Linked DNA regions of Cricetulus griseus. The protein of the gene in region 1 purifies or fractionates together with the protein of each later gene. This does not show direct contact. Links are inferred from orthologs where the notes say so. Each region holds a gene or a part of one and is shown in the gene's direction. Other genes may lie near its edges. The genes, in order: Ranbp6 and Armcx3.

The links.
Region 2: the proteins of Ranbp6 (region 1) and Armcx3 purify together in Homo sapiens (co-immunoprecipitation; 3 studies listed by BioGRID and IntAct, counting the BioPlex papers as one, with this or other methods). This does not show direct contact. The link is inferred for Cricetulus griseus from reciprocal best matches to the Homo sapiens genes RANBP6 and ARMCX3.

Annotation. Positions count from the first base shown.
Region 1 is NC_048596.1:31,599,839-31,611,409, forward strand, and holds Ranbp6 (ran-binding protein 6), read left to right. Parts: upstream 1-6,089; 5' UTR 6,090-6,132; coding exon 6,133-9,450; 3' UTR 9,451-10,648; downstream 10,649-11,571. UniProt on the Homo sapiens protein: May function in nuclear protein import as nuclear transport receptor.
Region 2 is NC_048604.1:45,332,530-45,344,069, reverse strand, and holds Armcx3 (armadillo repeat-containing X-linked protein 3), read left to right. Parts: upstream 1-4,863; 5' UTR 4,864-5,029; intron 5,030-5,534; exon of another isoform or gene 5,535-5,641; intron 5,642-6,012; 5' UTR 6,013-6,073; intron 6,074-6,344; exon of another isoform or gene 6,345-6,417; intron 6,418-6,715; 5' UTR 6,716-6,861; coding exon 6,862-8,001; 3' UTR 8,002-8,373; downstream 8,374-11,540. UniProt on the Homo sapiens protein: Regulates mitochondrial aggregation and transport in axons in living neurons. May link mitochondria to the TRAK2-kinesin motor complex via its interaction with Miro and TRAK2.

The DNA of each region.
Region 1 (11,571 bases):
GCATTTTTACTTCTCCAGCTCTGTCATCTAAACACACATACAGCTTGTCTTGTTGGCTTGGGCTGGCTCTACTCCATATCTGCCACTGTCCTCACTGTTTGTTCAGTGGTCCTGGCATTTCAAATGTCTTGGAATCCCCTGTAGCACAAGTAATAAAAAACCCAGAGACAGATATTGGGGTTCAAGCTGAAGATCAGAAAAGCAAGCGGCCACCGCTAACTCTTATCTCTACTTTAGATTGAAGGGGCGATCCCATCTCCAAGAATCCTGTGTGGCTGGAGACTGAATGTCTTGAGACTGAATGCTGAAGACCGAATAACCGAATAAGCCCCTGAGCTCCTGTCTTATATACCTCTCTAGTGCTGGGATTAAAGGTGTGTACCACCACTGCCTGGCCTCTGTGGCTGTGGTTAGCTTTGCACTCTGATTTTTCAGGCAAGCTTTATTATATCATAAACCAAATATCACTACAGTCTCCAATGTAATTGGAGCTTCACATACATATACATACCTATTCATATACAGGCACACATCTTAAAATGTCAGGTGTATTATGTTGTATAATTTTAACAGTGGCCACAGGTCTTACTATTAATGATTCCCCTTAGGATACAGAGTAATGCATAAAGAAAGTTTAAACAAATAAAATATTTATGAACACAGTTAACAAATAGCTGCAGAATATAACCAAAATCACAAGACATTGAAATAACAAGATTATATCTAATCGCATATGACTGGCAGATAAAAAGGCAGTTTTTTGTTTTTTGTTCTGTTTTTTTTTTTTTTTTTTTCAATACAGGGTTTCTCTCTGTAGCTTTGGAGCCTATCCTGGTACTCGCTCTGGAGACCAGACTGGCCCTGAGCTCACAGAGATCAGCCTGCCTCTGCCCCCCAAGTGCTGGGATTAAAGGCATGCGCCACCAACGCCTCAACGCCTGGCTTGGCTTTGGTTTTTTGAGACAAGGTTTTTCTGTGTAGCTTTGGAGCCTGTCCTGGAACTCACAGAGACCCATAAAAAGGTGGTTTTTAAGGTAGAAAAAGGCTCTGGTATAGGAAATCTCTGACCACATACCAGTGCAATATATGAAGTTAACTAGAGTTTTGAGATTAATAGTGGCCAGACAGCATTAGAGTGCTTGATTTAATGAAACCCACGATGGGGCATAAGTCAATGAGTGGAGTGAAATAAGGGGAGCAAGGATCCTTGTGCCCTTGAATTTCCTCCTGGACAGGTGATCAGTGTCAAAACCAATGTGAGGATGGGTGGCCTACAGCAGAGATTTCCCCACTTTGTGGTAACCCACCAACTTGATGGTAGCACTGGTGTATTTGAAAAATGCTTTCATTTCTGATTTTCTTTGTTCTGTTACTATAAAAACTCAATGAAACTACTGCAATATCGGTACATGGAATTTGGAGTAACCTGAACCTGTATTCCCAAGCCACAGTTACTCTGGGCTGCTGAATAAACTATCAATTATTCCCTCAGAGGTGAGAGGTGTGTGTGTGTGTGTGTGTGTGTGTGTGTGTGTGTGTGTGTGTGTGTGTGTGTGTGTGTGTGTGTGTGTGTGTTTAAGGGCTGTAAGAGGCTGCTGCTTCCAGAAAGAAGGGCTATTGTTGAGGCAACCCAGAGAAAAACAGAAAGAACAAGAAACAATCCCTTTCCTGACCCTGCCTCTTTTGACATTGTCCAGTCTCTTGAGGTTCTTGTTGGCAGAAGCCAACAGAGATCCAGCTCTGAGTGGAGACACTTGTTAGACAAACCTAACCTTAGCATCAGAGAACAAATTATACAAATATAGATGGATATGAGCTTAAGACAACTGGCAAATGGCACTTTCAGTTTAAACAGAAAGTTTAAACAATGATTTCCATTGGCTTCGGCCTAAACTCCCTATTTAAAAGCTCCCAAGTAGGCTTCATCTAATGGTCTAATGCCTCTTGAGGATTACCTGGATCCATTGTTTCATTCAGTGCTGTTGCAGAATAGTTCTCTGACTGAGGCATTCTTTTTGCATTGATTAGGTGGAGTCTGTACAGAGAAACATTCCCTCACCAACTATTTGGTTGATTTAAATTACAATTTGTGCAGGAAAAGACAGGGGAAACTTGATTACTGCTCTTAGTCCATTTTCAGAGTTGCTGGCTTAGGAATCTAAAGATGATCAGTGGCTTAGCAAGTTTTGATATTAGAAATTTGTCACATTTGTTCATAATTTTGATTCTCTTTTAATCTATTGTAGGCATTTTTCTCTTTTATATTCAGGTTGTCTCATTTTAGGCCATTTAAAGTGTTCATGGCATTTTCATGACATTTTGTTTTGGTTTGTTTTCTGTATTTTTCTTATTTGTTCTGGATTATTCTTGAAAAAAAATATCATGCATGATCAACTTAATTCTATCCCTTTCATTTTACTCTAAATTTCTAAGTCCTTCAGTGAAATTAGTAACTTATCCTGACCTTTCCCTGACTTGGCAATAAACACCCTAATTGTCTGGTGTTGGGTTACTCTGGGGAAATGATCTTGAGATGCCCTCTCCACCAACACAACAAAGCTAGAGTTAATTACAGAATTTAAAATTGTTCAATTGTAACCAAATTGGCAAGCCAATTTAGGGTATTATGTACACTTCTCATATGGGGAAAGAGAAGGACAATAACAATAAAAAATTAACTACAAGGTAATTTATCCAAGAAGTCATAAACGATTGCCCTAAAACAGGTTCAATTTTGCTCCTACTGTTGAAATTACAAGTTGTTTTATCATGTGGGAAGCAGTGAGAGAACAAAATAGACCCCCCAAGATTCACCTTTTTAGGAAAAGCTTTTTCCTCCCAAATAGCAGTGTTTTTTTTTAAATATATATAAACACTGATTTTTATTATTTTAGAAATAAATAGACTGGCAAATAACAGCACCTCAAACCAGATGACCAGGGAAACTCTTGGGAAGATGTTTTAGTCTCCTTCTCGTATACTGTGCACTGCTTTGTTACCTCTCTGGTCTTTGCCTTCTTTCCCGCCATCAAATTCAGCTACTGAATTTAGACTTTCTGGTTAACCAAACTAGGTAATTGACCAACATAATGTCTCTATTCTTTATGCATCCGTTTTCCTGTTCATGCAAATTGCTCTAAAACTTGATTCATAGCACTTGATTAAAATCTTGTCACCTTTAGGGAAAGAACCCACGTTTCTTAGCATGGACTATGATACCCTTCATCATCTGGTCTCGACTTATCTCCCTGTCTTCCTCCTTGCTGACCCGGCCCTCTCAGGCCCCACACCTAATGCTTGACTCTGAAACATGGGCAGAGAGTTCTCACAGTTTGCTTCAAGGCCTCTGTATTTCAGCAAGTTGTTCTCACTTGTTCTCTCTCTCTCTCTCTCTGTCTCTATCTCTGTCTCTCTCTGTCTCTCTCTCCTCTCTCTCTCTCCTCTCTCTGTATCTGTCTCTCTCTCCTATCTCTCTCTCTCTCTCTCCCTCTCTCTCCTGTCTCTCTCTGTCTCTGTCTCTGTCTCTGTCTCTCTCTGTCTCTCTCTGTCTCTCTCTCTGTCTCTGTCTGTCTCTCTCTCTCTCTCTCTCTCTCTCTCTCTCTCTCTCTCTCTCTCTCTCTCTCTCTCTCTCTCCCCAAATGGTTAACTAAGAGTTCAGAAGCCAGTTCGGACGTCACCTCCATCTGAGATTCATGTCACCCACTCTGAACATGGACTAATAGGAATAATCAAGTTTCCCCTCTCTTTTCCTGCACAAATTGTAATTCAGGCCCACCAAATAATTGGTGAGGGGATGTTCTTCGGGGCAGACTCCCAGTTGATTTGCTCTAAACCTCAGTGTGTTAGGCGGTTCCTTAGTGCCATGGACAGAATTATTAGCACACTAATTCCTTATATGACATCTACTATGTCCCATAATCGTCTTCGTGAAGTTGCTCTTTGTGTGTGTACTGTATGATGGGCTTATGTGGGTGTGTGCACATTGTGGAAGTCAGAGGTCAACTTCCGGTGTCTTCCTAAATCACCTCATGTTATTAAGAAAGAGCCTCTGACCAAACTTTGTGTAGGCTGACACTGAGCTCTAGAGATCTTCCTGTCTCTTCCTGCCCTGTGCTGGGGTATACATGTGCAGTGGGGTTTTCCATGGGTATTGAGATCCAAACTCAAGTACTCGTCATGTTTACACAGCAGGAACTTTATCAACTGAGGCATTTCCCTAGCTTTTCTTGTATTTAATTTTTGGTGTCCAGCACTATGCTTGCTATAGCTCTGGTGAATATTTTCTGATGGAATAAATGTATGACTGAACAGTCTTAACAGCATTTCAACCATTTTTCACTTTGCACTAAGTTATTCATACTCCCAACATAATATCACTGCACCAACCTTGGCATTGTTAGTCATTTGCATTCCAAACACAGCAGGGGGTCTGCCATTGCATCTTGCTGTAGCTTTAATAAGCTCTTAGTATGCTAATGGTTGTAGCTGTAAGGAAAGCATTTCTCCCACATTCGTTAACATTTCCTAAAACTGCAGATGCAAAGCTTTTTGCAGCCAAACTTTTTCTAGGAGCAGTAAGAAAATCATTAAGTATGGTACGAGGTGAAGAACTACAGGTAAGATCTTAGGATCAGAACAAAAACTGATTTGATGCATAATTCTCAAATTTGGGTATTTATATGAAAACCTACTGTGCATATTCAAATTATATATGCTGGGATTACAGGTTTCAGAATGCTAGTTTAGTAGTTTGGAAGCTGGTCCTAAGTGATCTTGATATGGCCCACTATCAAGAAACACTATTCAGAGAATAGTTGCATATTACAAATTAATTTAAGAGACCATCTATTTGGTCTGTCATCTTGTTAATGTGAAAACTATCATTTCTCCATTTTGTGTGTACATGCAACAGAATTCCACGAAACTGAAATTCAGACTGCTTGGCAAAGTTTAAGACAGAAAACAATAATTGAAGGTCTTTGATGATGTTGCAAAAGCAAGAGTGGTTATGGGCGAGTTCTGTGGCGAAAAGGGTGCACTCTAAGGAAAGGTAGAATTTAGACTCAGTTGCTATCTTGGGCAAGTCCTTCAGTCTCCCCGGTTCTCCATTTCTCACCTACAGGTAGTACTATTTCTATCCTTATCAACCTCATAGAATTATATAAGGGCTAAAAATGAGTATAATAACTGCTAACACTAAGATCTGATCACAGACAGTTACACTTTATAATTAAGGTTTTAAATGACACACCTGCCTAAATTAAGACGCCTAGCCCCGGGGAATTTGTTCTGAGGGTAACTTTTGCAGCTTCCTATTAAAGGGTAATTAAGATTCCAATAACTGAACTCTGTCGTATTGCAGTTTAGAAACACATGTAAGGGAAATCTTGAGTGACAAAGACACAAAGTTAATAGAAGACCAGGATTGAAGAAGTTTATTACTCCACATCATTTCCACCATACTTACTTAGTTCTTCTTTTCTCATCTCTATTATAATCCACATTACTTCATTGGATGTGGTAGTGGGGAGGAAATCGTTATCCTTTAATTGAGCTTATTTTGCGAACAGCTTTATTGTGGTATCACTCATATACCCTGTTCACCAATTCAAATAATAGAACTCAGCATTTCTTAGTAAAATGGCATGGCACTGGGGAACCGTCCTCACTATCAATTACAGAACATTTTCATCAACCCTCAAAAAGAAATCCCGGGACAGCGGACCGCAGTTATACTCCATGCCTCCCCTACTCCATAGCATCGGCTAATTAAAGTCCGTGTAGACGGCCTATTTGAGATCTTTTATAAGAATCAGGGCATCGTACAGTATGTAGGCTCTTCGGGCGAGTTTCTCTCCTCCTATCTCCTTCCCGCCTCTGCAGGTGCACAGGGATCGGGAAACACGAGATACCCCCGGTATTCTCCCGGCTCCGTCATAACGGTAAAACCCCGATCCCACCCCCACCTCACCCCCCTTCACCCCCACCCCTACTCCCACCCCTTCCAGCGTTACCCCCGCGTCGGTCTGGGGAGCGCGCCCCGCCCATCCCCGCCGTCGCCTCGTTGACGTCACTGCTCCAGCCGCAGACTCCCTCCCTCCTTGCCGGTCGCGGTAGCTTTGACAGGGCGCGATGGCGGCGGCCGGGTCTGCAGGGTTGCCGGCGACCGTGTCGGAAAAGCAGGACTTTTACCAGCTTCTGAAGAACCTGATCAATCCAAGCTGTATGGTGCGGAGGCAAGCGGAGGAAGTCTACGAGAATATCCCGGGGCTGTGTAAGACTACGTTCCTCTTAGACGCCGTCCGAAATAGAAGAGCAGGTTATGAGGTGAGACAAATGGCTGCCGCACTGTTACGACGGCTTTTGTCCTCTGGGTTTGAGGAGGTCTATCCAAATCTGCCTTCTCATGTGCAGAGGGATGTCAAGATTGAACTGATACTGGCTGTTAAGTTGGAAACACACGCTAGCATGAGGAAAAAGCTTTGTGATATTTTTGCGGTGCTGGCCAGGAATTTGATAGATGAGGAGGGCACTAACCATTGGCCAGAAGGTCTGAAATTCCTCATTGATTCGATTCACTCTAAAAATGTGGTTCTGTGGGAAGTGGCACTTCACGTTTTCTGGCACTTTCCTGGGATTTTTGGGAACCAAGATCGCCACGATTTGGATATCATCAAGAGGTTGTTGGACCAGTGCATTCAAGATCAAGAGCATCCAGCAATCAGGACATTATCTGCTAGAGCTGCAGCTGCGTTTGTCCTTGCTAATGAAAACAATATTGCTCTTTTCAAAGACTTTGCGGACTTGCTTCCTGGAATCTTACAGGCTGTGAATGATTCCTGCTACCAGGATGATGATTCGGTGCTAGAATCCCTTGTCGAGATTGCAGATACCGTACCTAAGTATTTGGGTCCCTATTTAGAAGATACTCTGCAGTTGAGCCTGAAGTTATGCGGAGACTCGAGGCTTAGTAATCTGCAACGCCAGCTGGCTCTGGAAGTAATAGTGACCTTATCCGAAACTGCAACTCCGATGTTGAAAAAGCACACGAATATTATTGCACAGGCTGTGCCTCATATATTAGCGATGATGGTTGATCTACAAGATGATGAGGACTGGGTAAACGCCGATGAAATGGAAGAAGATGATTTCGACAGCAATGCAGTTGCTGCGGAGAGCGCACTAGACAGACTGGCTTGTGGACTTGGTGGAAAAGTTGTTTTGCCAATGACCAAGGAGCATATCATGCAGATGCTTCAGAGCCATGACTGGAAATGTCGACATGCTGGACTGATGGCCTTATCGGCCATCGGAGAAGGTTGCCATCAGCAAATGGAACCAATTCTGGATGAAACAGTTAACTCAGTTTTGCTTTTTCTTCAGGATCCCCATCCAAGGGTGAGGGCAGCTGCCTGCACTACACTTGGACAGATGGCCACAGATTTTGCACCTAGTTTCCAAAAGAAGTTCCATGAAATAGTGATTACGGCGTTGTTGCGAACCATGGAAAATCAAGGTAATCAGCGTGTGCAATGCCATGCGGCTTCTGCCCTTGTCATCTTTATTGAAGACTGCCCCAAATCGCTACTAGTTCTATATTTGGAAAATATGGTAAAAAGTCTACATTCCATCTTGGTAATTAAATTGCAAGAGCTGATTCGGAGTGGAACTAAGTTGGCCTTAGAACAGCTTGTGACAACCATTGCCTCAGTTGCAGATGCAATAGAAGAAAGCTTTGTTCCATATTATGATATATTTATGCCCTCCCTCAAACATGTTGTTGAGCTTGCAGTTCAAAAGGAACTCAAGCTTCTTCGAGGAAAAACTATTGAGTGCATTAGCCATGTTGGTCTTGCCGTTGGGAAGGAGAAATTTATGCAAGATGCATCGAATGTGATGCAGTTACTGTTGAAGACACAATCGGACTTAAATACTATGGAAGATGATGACCCTCAGACTTCTTACATGGTTTCAGCGTGGGCTAGAATGTGTAAAATTCTTGGAAAAGACTTTCAGCAGTATCTTCCACTGGTTATCGAGCCTCTTATTAAGACTGCCTCAGCTAAACCTGATGTTGCTCTCTTAGACACACAAGATGTGGAGAACATGAGTGATGATGATGGCTGGCAATTTGTAAATCTTGGAGACCAGCAAAGCTTTGGAATTAAAACCTCAGGACTTGAAGCAAAAGCAACTGCTTGTCAGATGTTGGTTTACTATGCTAAGGAGTTAAGAGAAGGATTTGTGGACTATACAGAACAAGTTGTGAAGCTGATGGTTCCTTTGTTGAAATTTTATTTTCACGACAATGTTCGAGTGGCAGCTGCGGAAGCCATGCCCTTTCTCTTGGAATGTGCAAGGATCCGTGGCACGGAGTATCTTTCACAGATGTGGCAGTATATATGTGATCCCTTAATCAAGGCCATTGGAACTGAACCTGATACAGATGTACTCTCAGAGATAATGAATTCTTTTGCAAAGTCCATTGAGGTGATGGGAGATGGTTGTCTCAATGATGAACACTTGGAAGAACTGGGAGGAATTTTGAAGGCAAAGCTTGAAGGGCACTTTAAAAACCAAGAGTTGCGGCAAGTAAAAAGGCAGGAAGAGAATTATGATCAACAGGTAGAAATGTCTCTTCAGGATGAAGATGAATGTGATGTTTATATTCTGACCAAAGTATCAGATATCTTGCACTCATTATTTAGCACTTACAAGGAGAAGATTTTGCCATGGTTTGAACAGCTACTTCCTTTAATTGTGAATCTAATTTGTTCAAGTAGGCCATGGCCAGATCGACAGTGGGGATTGTGCATATTTGATGATATCATAGAGCACTGCAGCCCAACCTCATTCAAATATGTTGAGTATTTTCGGTGGCCAATGCTACTCAATATGCGAGATAACAACCCCGAAGTCAGGCAAGCTGCTGCTTATGGACTGGGTGTTATGGCACAGTTTGGTGGAGACGATTATCGTTCTTTATGTTCAGAAGCTGTTCCACTGTTGGTAAAGGTTATTAAGTGTGCAAATTCCAAAACGAAAAAAAATGTCATTGCTACAGAGAACTGTATCTCAGCAATAGGAAAGATTATGAAGTTCAAGCCCAATTGTGTGAATGTAGATGAGGTTCTCCCACACTGGCTGTCATGGCTCCCGCTGCATGAAGATAAAGAAGAAGCTATTCAGACTTTGAATTTTCTCTGTGACCTAATTGAAAGTAACCACCCAGTTGTGATCGGTCCCAATAATTCCAATCTTCCCAAAATCATCAGTATAATTGCAGAAGGAAAAATTAACGAGACTATTAGCCACGAAGACCCCTGTGCCAAACGCCTAGCTAACGTTGTTCGACAGATACAGACTTCTGAAGAATTATGGTTGCAATGTATATCCCAACTTGATGAAGACCAGCAGGAAGCTTTACAAGAATTACTCAATTTTGCTTGAAGCACTTTACTATCACTTGAATATCAGCTATCATAAAAATAACTACAAAGTTTTGTGAGTGGATCCTTACAAATGAGAGATACCATTTCTCTCTGCTAAGCAGTTCATACTTCAGGATTAGTGTTAAGGTCTTCTGTTTATTTTGCATGTGTCATCTCTTAAAGAAACTGTGGTTGTAACTTGTGCTTCCAGTCAGTTGTCCTAAGAGTTCTCTGTCACCTTCCCCCTATTTAGTGTAAATGTATATAAATCATTGCTATTTGTCTGAACTTTTGATGCTGGGTAAACGGTATACTTGGTGCCAAGATGTCTGTGACTGTCACAAGATGTAAAAGAGCTCATAAAGAAAGGGAAACTTCCAGGATAAGCATCTTTGGAATTGAGGGTCGAGTATATTGGCAGACTTACTCTTCCTTGGTACTCTTCCTTGGTAATACTTCTGTTTGTTATGGTACTGGAAGGATGCTAGACCTGAAAAAGTTTCAAGGTACTGCAGTGGATGTAGGAGTTTTTTTTTCTATAATATAAATGAACCTTTTCATGTAGAACTCCTGTAAAGGGGTTGGAGCATGACTAAATTCCAATTTACAGGGTGTCCGGTTGAGAGGTACAAGAATTTAACCAAATTGGTCTTTAAAAAATTATCTAGAATTGAAATGGTGTGGAGGAGGAAGAGCTGATACATCTAACCCTGAAAGCATGGGATAGACTTGAACAGAGCTTAATAAATAATAGTCAATGTTTGTGGGAGTCCGTTATTGTTACATGTTTTAGCTGAGTGTTTATATGTAATACCCCCCTATCCCCCACACTAAACAAGAAAGGAAACCTTTATTCAGAATAAGGGAATAAATAGATTTCTGTTTTGAAGCAGTTCTTAACAGATTCTACAGAAACAGTGAAACAAACTTAATTTCATCTTTAAACATTTAAAAAATGAGCTTTAAGACTAGTCATGTATCAGTGTATTGTTTTACAAAACAACTCTGAATTTAGGGTTAATTGTATTAACTGAAATGTCTTTACTGTTGAAGGTGTTTTGTAGAGTAGAAAAAAGTTTCTACTTAACAAACTTCACTCAAAACTTACAAACAAGAATGTCTGTTGTGATTTCCTGAGCCTGTTGTGTTGTGTATGTAATGGAGCAAATATGTCAGACCCAGTAAGTGCTCAATAAAGTGTCAGTGTTACTACTGTTGGTTGTTCTTCTACTGTGTTCTTTTTCATGCTTTAGAATTTGGTTTACAAATTTCCCTCCCTACTAGGTCTATCTAGACTACTGTAGACAGGGATATAAAGTTAGATTTTTAGATAGTTCAGAATTTGATATATAGTATGGTTACAAGTGTATTTAAAATAAATAGCTAGCTACCTTGAAGTTTAATAGTTTTCTGTGGGTGGTGGGATTAAATGGCAACTTTTCTATAAATTAAAATTACATACAAACAACGTATTTCTCATATAATAAAGTGTTTTTTTTGTAAAGTTCAAGGACCTCATTTACTATCATTTTGACCTCTTCATGAACTGGAGTTAAGGTTCCTTCTACTTACTGAGCTCTTTCTCTGTGTGGCCTAAGAAATCTTTCATCAGTATGTTGCTTGCAGGTCATATAGTCTTGTGAAACTGGCAAATGATTTGTAATTGGGTACTTGGAGTTTTGAAGTAAGAGAGAGTTTAAATTTGAATTTTGATTTTTCTAAGTGTTTGTTTCCCTACCTGCAAGATGAGGATAATATGTTGTTTATGTGGTGGTTGTCTTAATGAAAGGAGACAATGAATATAAAGTGCTAAGCAGCAGAAGGGTCAGTAAATGGAAGCTATTGTGTGAGAATTTTGAAATAGGTCTGGTGGCTAAAAGGGAGTGGGCATTTGCTTGAGTTTGGTAGGCTTTTAGATGCTTGGGTTTTGTCAAAGGAAATGAAGGAAGCCCAACCAGACATATTTGCCAGTTGCTGTAGTAGAACTGGTCCTTACCTTTTTTCCTCATGAGCTGAAGTATGTCTGACAGAGAGAAAACCAAAAATGCCAGATGAGTACGTTATGTGTGAAGGAGAGTGTAACTACTCTAAAAACTCATGTTCTTGTTTCAGTATTTTTGCTACAAAAGATATATAGCTT
Region 2 (11,540 bases), on another chromosome or scaffold:
GAGTTTGACTTTCTCGAATTACTGTGCACTCACACTTTATTCTTGGGGGAACTGCCTGCTCCTTTCGTTGGTTTTCAAACTCCTTTCTTTAATTTCTATCCCTCTCTATTTTCAGTCTCTATATCACAGTTGGGGAGAGGGAGCAGCAAAGGAATCCCAGATGTGAACGGAAATTGTATTAACACTTTTGATCCATTTATGCTTTATTTCATTTCTCCTATATTTTGTAATCATAAGACAAAATGGTGCTATTTCCACTTGGATAGGTAAACAAATTCCAATCTTTTAAATTGTATGCAAAAAAGAAATTAAGATTTTTTCCAGTTAAGAGCGAGATCTCATTGATTTGACAAAGTTAATTAATACAACATCGAAAATATTTTCTTCCTAATACCAGGTTTAGAACAGCATCTGGTGGTTTTAAAACATATCCTTACAAACAAACAAACAAACAAAAGCATGCTTTCAATAGGATCGATGAAACGTAAATGGATTAGTAGTGAGGTCAATGCTGAAGTTTTGACCATTTTAGATGTGTGAGCCATTATTTGCCCCCCTTTTTTTATCCTGAGTGAATTCACAGGTGTCAGTTGACTGAGATCTTGTACAAGGTTCAACAATGACTCTCAGTGTCACCCAAAAGATAGATTTTATGCAGACGCCAACTTAGGTTTCAGATAAACTTTACAAATTAGTAGCATCACAGACTACCTGCTTTTCATTCAAAGGGATTTCAATTTTGTACTGAAGTTTCATGATGCAAAACCATGAACCACCCTGAAATTAGGGCACTCTCTGCTATCCCATAGATGGCAGTTAATACTTGACAGGTGGAGATTTCATACCATTATAAGACTAGTGAGACCTCCTCAGGTCTGCCCTTCATGCACTATATCACCATATCAATGATGAATCTTCAGCATGAAGTCTTCATTTCCAGTGACAATGAGGATAAAGAGTCTGTGGATAACTGTAGATTGTAAAAACACTGGTGACATCAATTTCTTTTCCCTCTCATAGGTAGAAGACCAAAATACAGTATCCCAAGTTGTCCCCAGGAGAAATAGGCCTTTTTCACCCCCTGTCTTCCCTAATAACTTTACTGCACCATCCTCACAAACCGCTCAGAACTCAGGGACAAAATATGCAAGAGTGAGTCCCCAGGCGCCACCTGTTCACTGCTGGGAGTCATACTCTAAATATAGACCCCCAGGCTGCTTCTTTCTTAGCATATTGAAATTTGACTCGCCTGCCAGAGGCCTTCCCTGTGCATGGCCTGTGTGGAGGAGGCCCTTGCAGGAGGTGAGGCAGGGAATCCATGCCTTGTTGGCAAATATAAGAACTCCGGAACAAACATATCATCACTCTCTGGTCTTCCTAACAACTCGACTCATTTAAAATATCAGGTCCCATTTCCTCTGGCTCTCTGTTTCATTTGTTTTGCTACCGTGCTTTTTTTTTTGCTGTCTTTCTATGATTTTCTTAGCTAAGTAAATCCTGTCTCTGAAAATTTAGGAATAAAATGCTCAGATTAAACTGTACTTTTAGTGCTTGCCTACCATGAACTTACACAAGAGACCTCTGTTCATTTGAATATAAACATGAGGAAGAACTAAGAAAAGCAGGTGATCGGTTCTGCAATGTGAACTCATTTTCACATTTTGTCAAGTTTCAGGGACGAAAGCTTCACGCCTACTTCTCTTCATTGCTACAAAAATCTCTCTCTCTTTTGCTATGTCATCCAGTCATTTCAGCATAAAAACACAGAAGAAACCACCAATCTCTCAGTTCATCAGGACCTTCTAGTTTGAATCCACTCCCTATCTAAAACTTCTTAAACCCCAGGAGCATGAACCTTTTCAGTTAGTTTACATCTCTGTCGCTTTAGTTCATAATTCTTACCAACAAGCACAGGGGCTATGATTTAGAACCACTTTGTTCTCCATTATATGCACACACAAATACTTTTTAAAGGACCTTGTAGACATCTGATACACCATCTTAAATGTGAGAAGGGAAAATGCTTAAGTACCCAGGCAAGTCTGTTTAATGTTTTCAGAGCCTATTAGAACAAACAACAAAAGTTTGTAAAACCACTCCCCAAGGAAACCTTTTGATGGCCACACATATTACATGAAAATAAAAAAGGATCAGCAGTTGGTAACACTATGGTCTATGGAGGGAAACAAAAGAGAAGGTTGGCATTTGAAAAGCTTTGGATACTGTGTTACTTGATGTAGTACTGTAGCTTAGTTAAGGTTGTCTCATTGCAAGCAGATTATCCAAGTCTGGTTAACACAGAGAACAAATGCTAAGGAGCAAGGTCAGGGATCTAGGTAGGAGAAACTGATAGATGATCGTTTCACCTAAGTTTACCTGGTTTCAGGTTGTTATCTCCTTGCTCAAGATTAAAATTTTAACAGGAGAGCTTCTGGTTGGAGTGTTTTGGCCACAGTGTCCATCTTTTTGCTAGGGAAATACAGAGTATGTTAAATGTGAAATACATTCACTCACTTTCTTTAGTATGAAGTGTGAATTGTTTAAAATGATGATTTATTTTGAAATTATTGACTTTACTTTTTATTTATGTGATGTGAGTGTTCCTGTTTGTCTGTATGGCACCACATGCACTGAAGGTAAGAGACAAGGGGTCAGATCCTCCGAAATGAAGTTATAGTCAACTGTGAGCCACCCCAACGATGGGAGTGCTAGGAACCGAACTTGGGTCCTCTGCAAGAGCAATGAGTGTTATTGGACACTTACTCCATATTTCCAGTCCTAGTGTATATCATCCTTTAATTATTTTGCACAGTGAGCCTTTGTTTAGCTGTCACTGAGATTCTAGGAACCTGTCTACCTCCACATGCTTGAGTCATAATTTCTACATTACCTGATCATTAGAAAGATACAATATGAAACGACAATGCATAAGGTTGCCCTTGGAACCAAAGCCACCTGGCTTCCCTGACAGGATTCCATAGGGTTGCATATAGAGTTCAGGGTGTTGTCTTGAGTGTTGCACCATCTACCCCAGCTTTTGTCTGTAAACAGAGAGCAGATGCTTCTGCGAGTGACAGACTCTCATTCAAAGATGCACATGTAAACCAAGATCTGAATGTTACACTCACCAGTCTCTGTCTTCTCCTCCTCTTAAATGGGCTACAATGAAAGTTATACTTCAACTGGACTAACAACTGAGTAGTTTACCTTGAGAAGTACAAGTGCCAGGGGGCAAAAGAGGTTTCTGCCTGTCTTACCTGTCCATGCTCTCTTGCAGTTTGCTTGATGAACCTAGAATCAGAGTGAGGGCATTCATTCATCTTAAGGAGTGACTTTTAGCCTAGGAAGTTTGAGGTATTCTTACACATCATGGAGTTGGTTTTGCCAAGGATGAAATGTCCCCTTTACCTTAGCCAGAACTTCCTCTCTTCTAAACAGTGCTTGATGGGAACTATTAACATTTTCATCTGATGCCCTTTTTGTGTGTGAATAAGTCTCTTTGTTGCACTTGATCTTTCTCTAAATACAGAGCCATACAGTTGATTTGGCTCCATTTACTAAATTCAAAATCGAGTCTCAGTTCTGCTTTCTAGAAGCTACAGTGATAAAAATTTTCCTAAACTCTTTGTACTCTAGATTTACTCCTATGTTTCCTGTGGATTTGGAAATTTCTATCCAGATACCAAACTTGTATCTAAACTGCTAGGGAATTTCTCACAGAAGAGCTCATGTTTAGGAATGCTACATTACACTATGTATTCTGCTATTTGTTTTTGTACTATGTATTAAGTTAGCCTTGTTGGGCAGCCAGCAACTGAAACCAAACCTGGTTAACTAAAACAATGAGAGAGTGTAATTACTTTGTTCCCTTTTCTGTCTCTGAAAGTTAAAATTGCAAGAGAATTCTTGTGTTTATCAAGCTAATCAGTGCAATGGCTTCATACTAATTGCTAGATGCCAAGTTCAGTCAAGTTTGCCTTGCTCTTTGTGTTCGTGTAATACTATTTCATCTGCAGACGTTCTGTGTTTGTATCCCAGCATATTTCACAATGTTCTTTGAATATCACTTGCATATCAGTGTGTCCGTTTTTATCTAACAGACTTGATTTCTCCTCAATCTTTTCTGTTCCTGACTCTGGAGAACCCAAGCCTCCTCCTGGTTAACTTGTGACCTTCAAAGCCTGTTGCTTAGTCAGAAGATTTACATATTCTCAGGCAGGCTGATTAGTTCATTCAAGTTGTGTATGTTCATTCAGCTGTGTTATGTGATAGGCCCCAGAAGACATTAAAATTCCTTTGAGTAAAGCGGGTAACACTTTCCACTAATTGAGAAATGTGGGACTTTTAGAGGCCACCACCCAGCATTGATCTCCTAACTCTACTCTTAGTTTTCCCCTATGGAAATACTTTTTTGTATTTTTTCCCTCATAAATAGAATGCAGGCTGTGAACAGGCGAAAAGCCAAGGTGAAAATAACCAAAAAAGTATGAAGAAAGTGAAAGATACACTCTCATTCCAGGTTTCCTTTTCTGGTTGCTTATTCATTTCAGGTCTAGGACTACATTTCAGAGGAAATGGTAGAGATTCATAGCCGGGAGGAGGGGAGGTAGAGGGAGAAGCTGCTGTCCCAGGAGTCTAGGGAAGGAAGAGTCAATTAAAAAAAAGTACAAGTGGCCAGTAGCCCCAGGGGAGGATGCTGTCCTGTTTTGGTAATTGGAGGAAGGGAAACACAACTAGAGGAAAATGGGATTAGCCGCAAAGAAGAAAGAGTAACAAGGCCTGGTATGGGGGAGGGAATGAAGGGGGGGCGGGTCCTCTTCTGCCGCACTGCTGGTGGGAGGGGAAAGTGGGGATCCGAGTTGGTGGATGACGTCGCTCTCACGTGACCAAGAGCTGACGTGTGCAGAAGTCCTTCTTGTCCTGGTCGTTGTTCCCGTCTGAGTACCAGCTCCTTATCACCCTGAGGGCGGGCGAGCCTGTAGCCGAGGCAAGAAGGAGGCGGAAAAGAAATTGTCCCGGATCCCTGCAGGTCAGTGCTTGGGATATTTCATAAAGTGCGGGTGGTGGAGGGTGGAGGGCGGAGGCCGTCGCAGGTCCGGGGGCGCCGCCGTCGTCTCTCCCACTTGCCTCTTCTTCCCAAGATATGTGTCCCGCCCGCAGCCCATTTCGATGCTGCAAAACAGTGAGTAGGGGGTGTTAGAGCAGGCGCTCAGAAATCAGGAGATGGGAATCTGCTGCGAGCTGAGGCCCGCAATCCGGAAAGGGAGCTGTGGCCTGGGTGTTGGCCCCTGGTCCACCAGGACTGTGCCGGCGGGGAAAAACTGGACATAGGGTCCGGCGTAGTGGGGTGCAATGTGATGTGTCAGCCGAACCCCGAGCCGGGTATCGGGCGGGAAACCTTTAACAACCAGGCCTCCGAATTTGGAAAGAGTTTCGTTCTCTGGGGACTGGTCCGTCCACCAAGCACTCTGTAGCGGCTGTTTCCCGTCTTTCTGCCTGTGGCCGTGTCTTCCTTACCATGGCTCTGTGTCTAGTGGGTCCAAGCCTCTCCTGGGTGGCCAGTCTTTCCGTAGGTTGTGGTACCACGCCAGGCAAGAGAAGAGGAAGGAAATTAACCAGATCGGTGAAGGTCGATTTGAGGGTAAGACCATCTGGGGACCCTAGTAGCGGCGGGGGTAAAAAAAGGGGTAAAACCAGAAAAGGTAATCTACGTTTAGATTTGAGTCTAAATGTGTTTCTCACACTCTCCGAACTGTGGAGAAATGGCGTGCGCTCTCTCTCTCTCTTTCTCTCTTTCTCTCTTTCTCTCTCTCTCTCTCTCTCTCTCTCTCTCTCTCTCTCTCTCTCTCTCTCTCTCTCTCTCTCTGTGTGTATGTGTGTGTGAGTGAATGTGATCGCAGGGGTGGGTGCGGGGGGCGGGATGACAGCAGGAAAACCTATCAGATAGTTTGTTCATAATCCTTCTCTCTCAACAGCACTTAGTGTCCATGTTTTCGATCTGTCATCCTGCAGGTCTGCTGTAGCAGGTGGCACCTCTTGAAGCAAGGGAGGAACTTTCCCCGGATCAGTAGAGGTCGGTGTGGGCGTGGGGGCAGTCTGGAATGGGGGAGGGGTTAGAAATCAGACTGGGTTTGGCCAGGCTCACTTAATCCTACTTTGTTTCCTTACATCCATCCATTTGAGACTAGGGAGGGGGGGCTCAACTGTGCGTGTTTTGGATGGATGGCACAGCGAGGTTTAACAAAAATCTGACAACCTGAATGGTAAATTAGGAAAGCATAAAATATACAGCCCATGCAACAAGCCCTCGTTTTTTTTTTTCACTGTTTCTGGTATCTCTGCAGATCAGAAAGATTGTTGGGCGTGGCAATACCTCACAGGAAAGGAAGAAGGGGGCAAACTGCTTGTTTCCAGGAGGTTAGTGTATGGGTGCCTATCCCATAGGGTATCACAGGAGCCTGTGACGGATGAGAGCACAGAAAAAATTGCGGATGCCGTTGACTTTATGCTTAGAGGCAAGAGTGACTGGGGGTGGGGGGAAGGGAGGAGAGGCATTCAAGGAGAGAGTGAAATGAGGGAGATCGAGGTTTTTGTCAACAATATGTATTCCCTATGCAGAATTCAATTACTACCTTCTGGCCCCTCGGTGTGATTGTCTGCATGGGGCAGTGCAGAGAAGAGAAAGCTGAACCCTCTTTTCTTCTTCCATTTCTAGGTTTGTCTCCAGAACCAGTTACACTGGCCTTGAAGTGACTGAAGAAGACCATTCTCCACAGGCCTGCACTTAGGCCCGAAGCCCTCTTCCCCTATTTTGAGTGACTACTCTATTTCTTTGTCCCTGCTGTCGTCAGGGACGATTGCATGGGCTACGCCAGGAAAGTAGGCTGGGTGACTGCAGGCCTGGTGATTGGGGCTGGAGCCTGCTATTGCATTTACAGATTGGCCCGAGGAAGAAGGCAGAGCAAGGAGAAAATGGCTGAGGGTGGCTCTGCTGATGTGGATGATGCTGGGGACTGTTCTGGGGCCAGGTATAATGACTGGTCTGACGATGATGATGACAGTAATGATAGCAAGAGTATAGTTTGGTACCCACCTTGGGCTCGGATTGGCACTGAAGCAGGGACCAGAGCTAGAGCCAGGGCCAGAGCCAGGGCTACGAGGGCTCGGAGAGCTGTCCAGAAAAGGGCTTCTCCTAATTCAGATGATACTGTTTTGTCCCCTCAAGAGTTACAGAAAGTACTTTGTTTGGTTGAGATGTCTGAAAAGCCTTATATTCTTGAAGCAGCTTTAATCGCTTTAGGTAATAATGCTGCTTATGCGTTTAACAGAGATATTATTCGTGATTTGGGTGGTCTCCCAATTGTGGCAAAGATTCTCAATACTCGGGATCCCATTGTTAAGGAAAAGGCTTTAATTGTCCTAAATAACCTGAGTGTGAATGCTGAAAATCAGCGCAGGCTTAAGATATACATGAATCAAGTGTGTGATGACACAATCACTTCTCGATTGAACTCATCTGTGCAGCTGGCTGGCCTCAGATTGCTTACGAATATGACTGTTACTAATGAGTATCAGCACATACTTGCTAATTCCATTTCAGACTTTTTCCGCTTATTTTTAGCAGGAAATGAAGAAACCAAACTTCAGGTTTTGAAACTCCTTTTGAATCTGGCTGAAAACCCAGCCATGACTAGAGAACTTCTCAGGGCTCAGGTGCCATCTGCACTGGGCTCCCTCTTTAATAAGAAGGAGAACAAAGAGGTTATTCTTAAACTTATGATAGTTCTTGAGAACATCAATGACAATTTCAAATGGGAAGAAAATGAGCCCGCTCAGAATCACTTTAGTGGGGGCTCACTTTTTTTCTTTTTAAAAGAATTTCAAGTGTGTGCTGATAAGGTTCTGGGAATAGAAAGCCACCATGATTTTCTAGTGAAAGTAAAAGTTGGGAAATTCGCAGCCAAACTTACTGAGCGGATGTTCCCAAAAAGCCAGGAATAACTCGGTGGCTTTGTAGTAGAGCAGCAACGCACCTTGTAAACTATTCCTTTTCTCCACCTTGTTTATATGGCAAAGGAATCCTTTCAGCTGCCAATTTTGAATAATGAGCATCGTACTGTATCATTGATACTGATATATTTAACCGAGTTTGTCTTCAGGTTTAAGTTGGATGAATGACTATCACTACTTTTCCTGAAAATATGTTTGTTGCTTTTTATCTTGCTGCCTGGATTGAAATATTTTTACTGTTTTCCTCCGAATAAGTGACAGTGAACCAATTCATCCTTTTTGGTCATTTGCATCCATTTTATTTGTGCATCATCAATAAAGATTTATGTTAATGCTGGAAAGAAGCAACAGAAGCAGAAACTATCCTGTCCTTTGGTTTATAATCTAGTTGTAGAGATAAGAAACATACAAACAACGACAACAAAAACCAAAAACCAAACCCTAAGATTATTTGGAGCATGCATTCTGTCAGATGTGTGCCTTCAGAGCATGGAGGAGGCAAAGGCTTTGGTGGCTGGCTACAGGAGTCAGTTAAAAACTTCAGGGAGGAGAGAGCCATTGAAAGGGAGTCCTTATTGGAGTAGGGAAGTCAGTGCATTCCATGAGACCAGACTTGAGGGTAGATGATGTGAGAAAGGCATTAATTTAGGAACCCTTATGATAGTCAAAACAGCCTTCTTAGAGTGGAGAGTGTGGAGAGTAGGGTTAAATCTGTAAAACCGTATGAAGCCCATTGCAGAAGGCTTGTTGAATGTATTTTTAACTAGGAAAGAGTTGGGGTCAATATAAAAGTCCTCCCACACTGTGTCATAAAGAATGGTATAGCATAATGGCTCCTTTCTAACTCTGGTGGTGGGCATTTGACAATACATATCATTAAGCCTTAAAATATGGAAACCTTTTATCCTAAGGAGATAACTGAATAACTGGCCAAAGACTGTATGTGCAAGGCTGTTCCTGTCAGCACTGTCTTGAGGTAGTAACCTTGGGAATAACTTCGGTGTTCAACACACTGAATTGACTTAGTAGATTAAAGAATGTCCATGCTGTGTGGCAAATGTGCTGATGGAACTCGGTATTGCTAGAAAAAGATTTTCATCATACATTGGTAACTGAGCAAGGGAAGTTAAAGAGCAGTATTCAGAGTATGGCTACATATTGCGGGGGGGGGGTGTGTGTTAAATCATGTTTAAAGACACTAAAATCTATGGAATTATATATACCCAGTAGTACTAAGAGTTATATTTGGATGAAAGATAATGAGCGATACTTACTTTTTGTACTTATTATTCATCTATGTTTTCTTATTTATCAAAAATTAATATTGATTTTAAGAAAGGGTTGGAAAAAGAAAAGTACAGGGAATGCAGCAGGTGATTAATTTGAACATGTACTGGCTGAGTGGGAAATATTTAGGCCCCAAAGGAGGTGGTCTAACGCTTCCACTTCAGAATGAGAGATGATGGTGACTATAAGGCTGGCAGTGAGATTCGAATAAGAGAATTTATGCAAAGTAGCTTCACTATTCTTGCATATAGCAGCAATTAGAAATGTGAGTACCTTTAAGTACACAGATGTAGTATTGATGGGTTTTGGTTACCTTTTGTTTTGCTGGGGCATTCTTCCATGTTTCAGTGTCATTTAATAAATAATAATAATAAAGGTTAACATTTATTAAGTGATTGCTGTGTAGAGTTCTGTCATTCCTGCAAGGAACCTGTGATAATTTCTCAAGTGTTCCAGGACTAAAAGTATCACCTCAATCATGATCTCTCCTGCCTTCACGACATTTTCCTCATTGGTGTGAGGATGTAATTCTGCTTTCTCTGTGACCAGGAAATGCTGCTGTCTTCTGTCTAGTTATGATTTAGGTTGAATGCCAGGTTTTCACATATGTACTCTAATGTCTGTAGTAGGACCAGGGACTGGTTGGCTTCAAGTTGTTGGATCTGGTAACCTTAAGTCATTCATGTATAGGAACTCATTTGCTAACACGTTAAAGGATGAGATGATAGGAAATGAAGTGAAAAAAAATTTCTTGCCCCTGCTAAGTAAGATAAAAAGGATTGTTATGACGGGGCAGGAGCAGATCTATTTCAAATAAATGAAATTTGAAGTGTTTGTGTGATATTCAGATACCACATTGTCATTTGAATGAATTACTCCTGCTTTCAGTGAAGATGTCTAGGCTGCAAATGAGAATTGGAGAGAGCTGTTAGAAGGTAGATGGAACTGAGGACAGGGGCCTGGCTGTAGTCTGTGGAGACTGCCTAAAGCAGCTAGATAAGAAACTAGCAGCTGGGGAGAGAAGCACCTAATTTAGTCAGTCTGTTTTATATTTTCTCATTAAAAAAAAAAAAAACTGCTTCGAAATGCTTGAGAAGACAGAGGCAATGAACAGAAAGTTGTTCCTTAAATCAGTTCTAGAATGAACGCATACTTGGGCACTCAGATCAAGCCATGCTGAGCTTGAGACACTGAGTGACTTGTTTATTCCCAGGCTGCAAAAGAAATGAAATGAAGTCATGGGAAGGCCCAGTGTAGCAGGCACACTCCTGCCTGGCATCATCTGCTGCTTTTCTCCCTGTTACTCCTTGTTCCTTTCCCTCCTTCTCTCACTCCCTCTCTTTTTCCCTCCCTCACACTTCTGTCTCTATTTCCTCCTGGGAGTTAATTGGTGGTAGTCAGTCTGTGCTGTTCTGCCTTTCTGGGGTGCCTTTAATTCGACACAATGCCATTCACGGGGGGCATTTTATATACAGTAATATTTGCTATTTTGTGGCCATAAGGTGCTTTGATTTTTTTGTGGAACCCTTCTTGAACAGAACAGACACAGAAGGAAAATTCTTGGCTTCTTGTTGCCCTGTGTGCTCGGCATGTATTTTTATGTCCTCATGCACGGTACAATTTAAGTTGAATAGCACACTCTTTGGGCAACTGCTGGGTGAGACTAGTGTGGGGCATGGCTGGGCCACTTCCTGGTGTCCCAGTGTTTCCCCTGGAAGGTTGCAGCTCCCAACCATTTTTGGAAGAGCAGGATCCAGGCCTGGGACTGTCTGCAGAGCTCATGGGGCAGGTCAGGGACAAGTTACTTTCTTCTCTTTTGGGGACGGTGTCAAGAGACCCAGCGGATAGCCTGCTATTTTGATTTTCTCCTCCAACAGTTCTGAAACTCCCTGTGTCAATCTAACTGTGCTCAAAGATAATTTTCTAATAGTGGGGCTCAGTTGTTTTAATCGTGCGCCCCCCCCCCCAAAGCCTAACTTTTCAAGGCTCAGGAAACAGGCTTTGTTTCTTGAATTCACATTTCATCGGCTTTGTTTTATAAAAACTCCAGCGTGGGGTAGACAAGTGATGTCACCACCATACATTTCATATGCTTGAATGTCGGGTTTTGCTAGGTTCTCTTGAGAGTGGTTTTGAACACCACAATAACATAAGACTGTTTTTCCATGCCGGCTGTTTACAGTACGTTTACACCACATCCCTGGCTGCAGCTTGTCCCTGGTTTGCCTGTTTAAGCTGTGGCT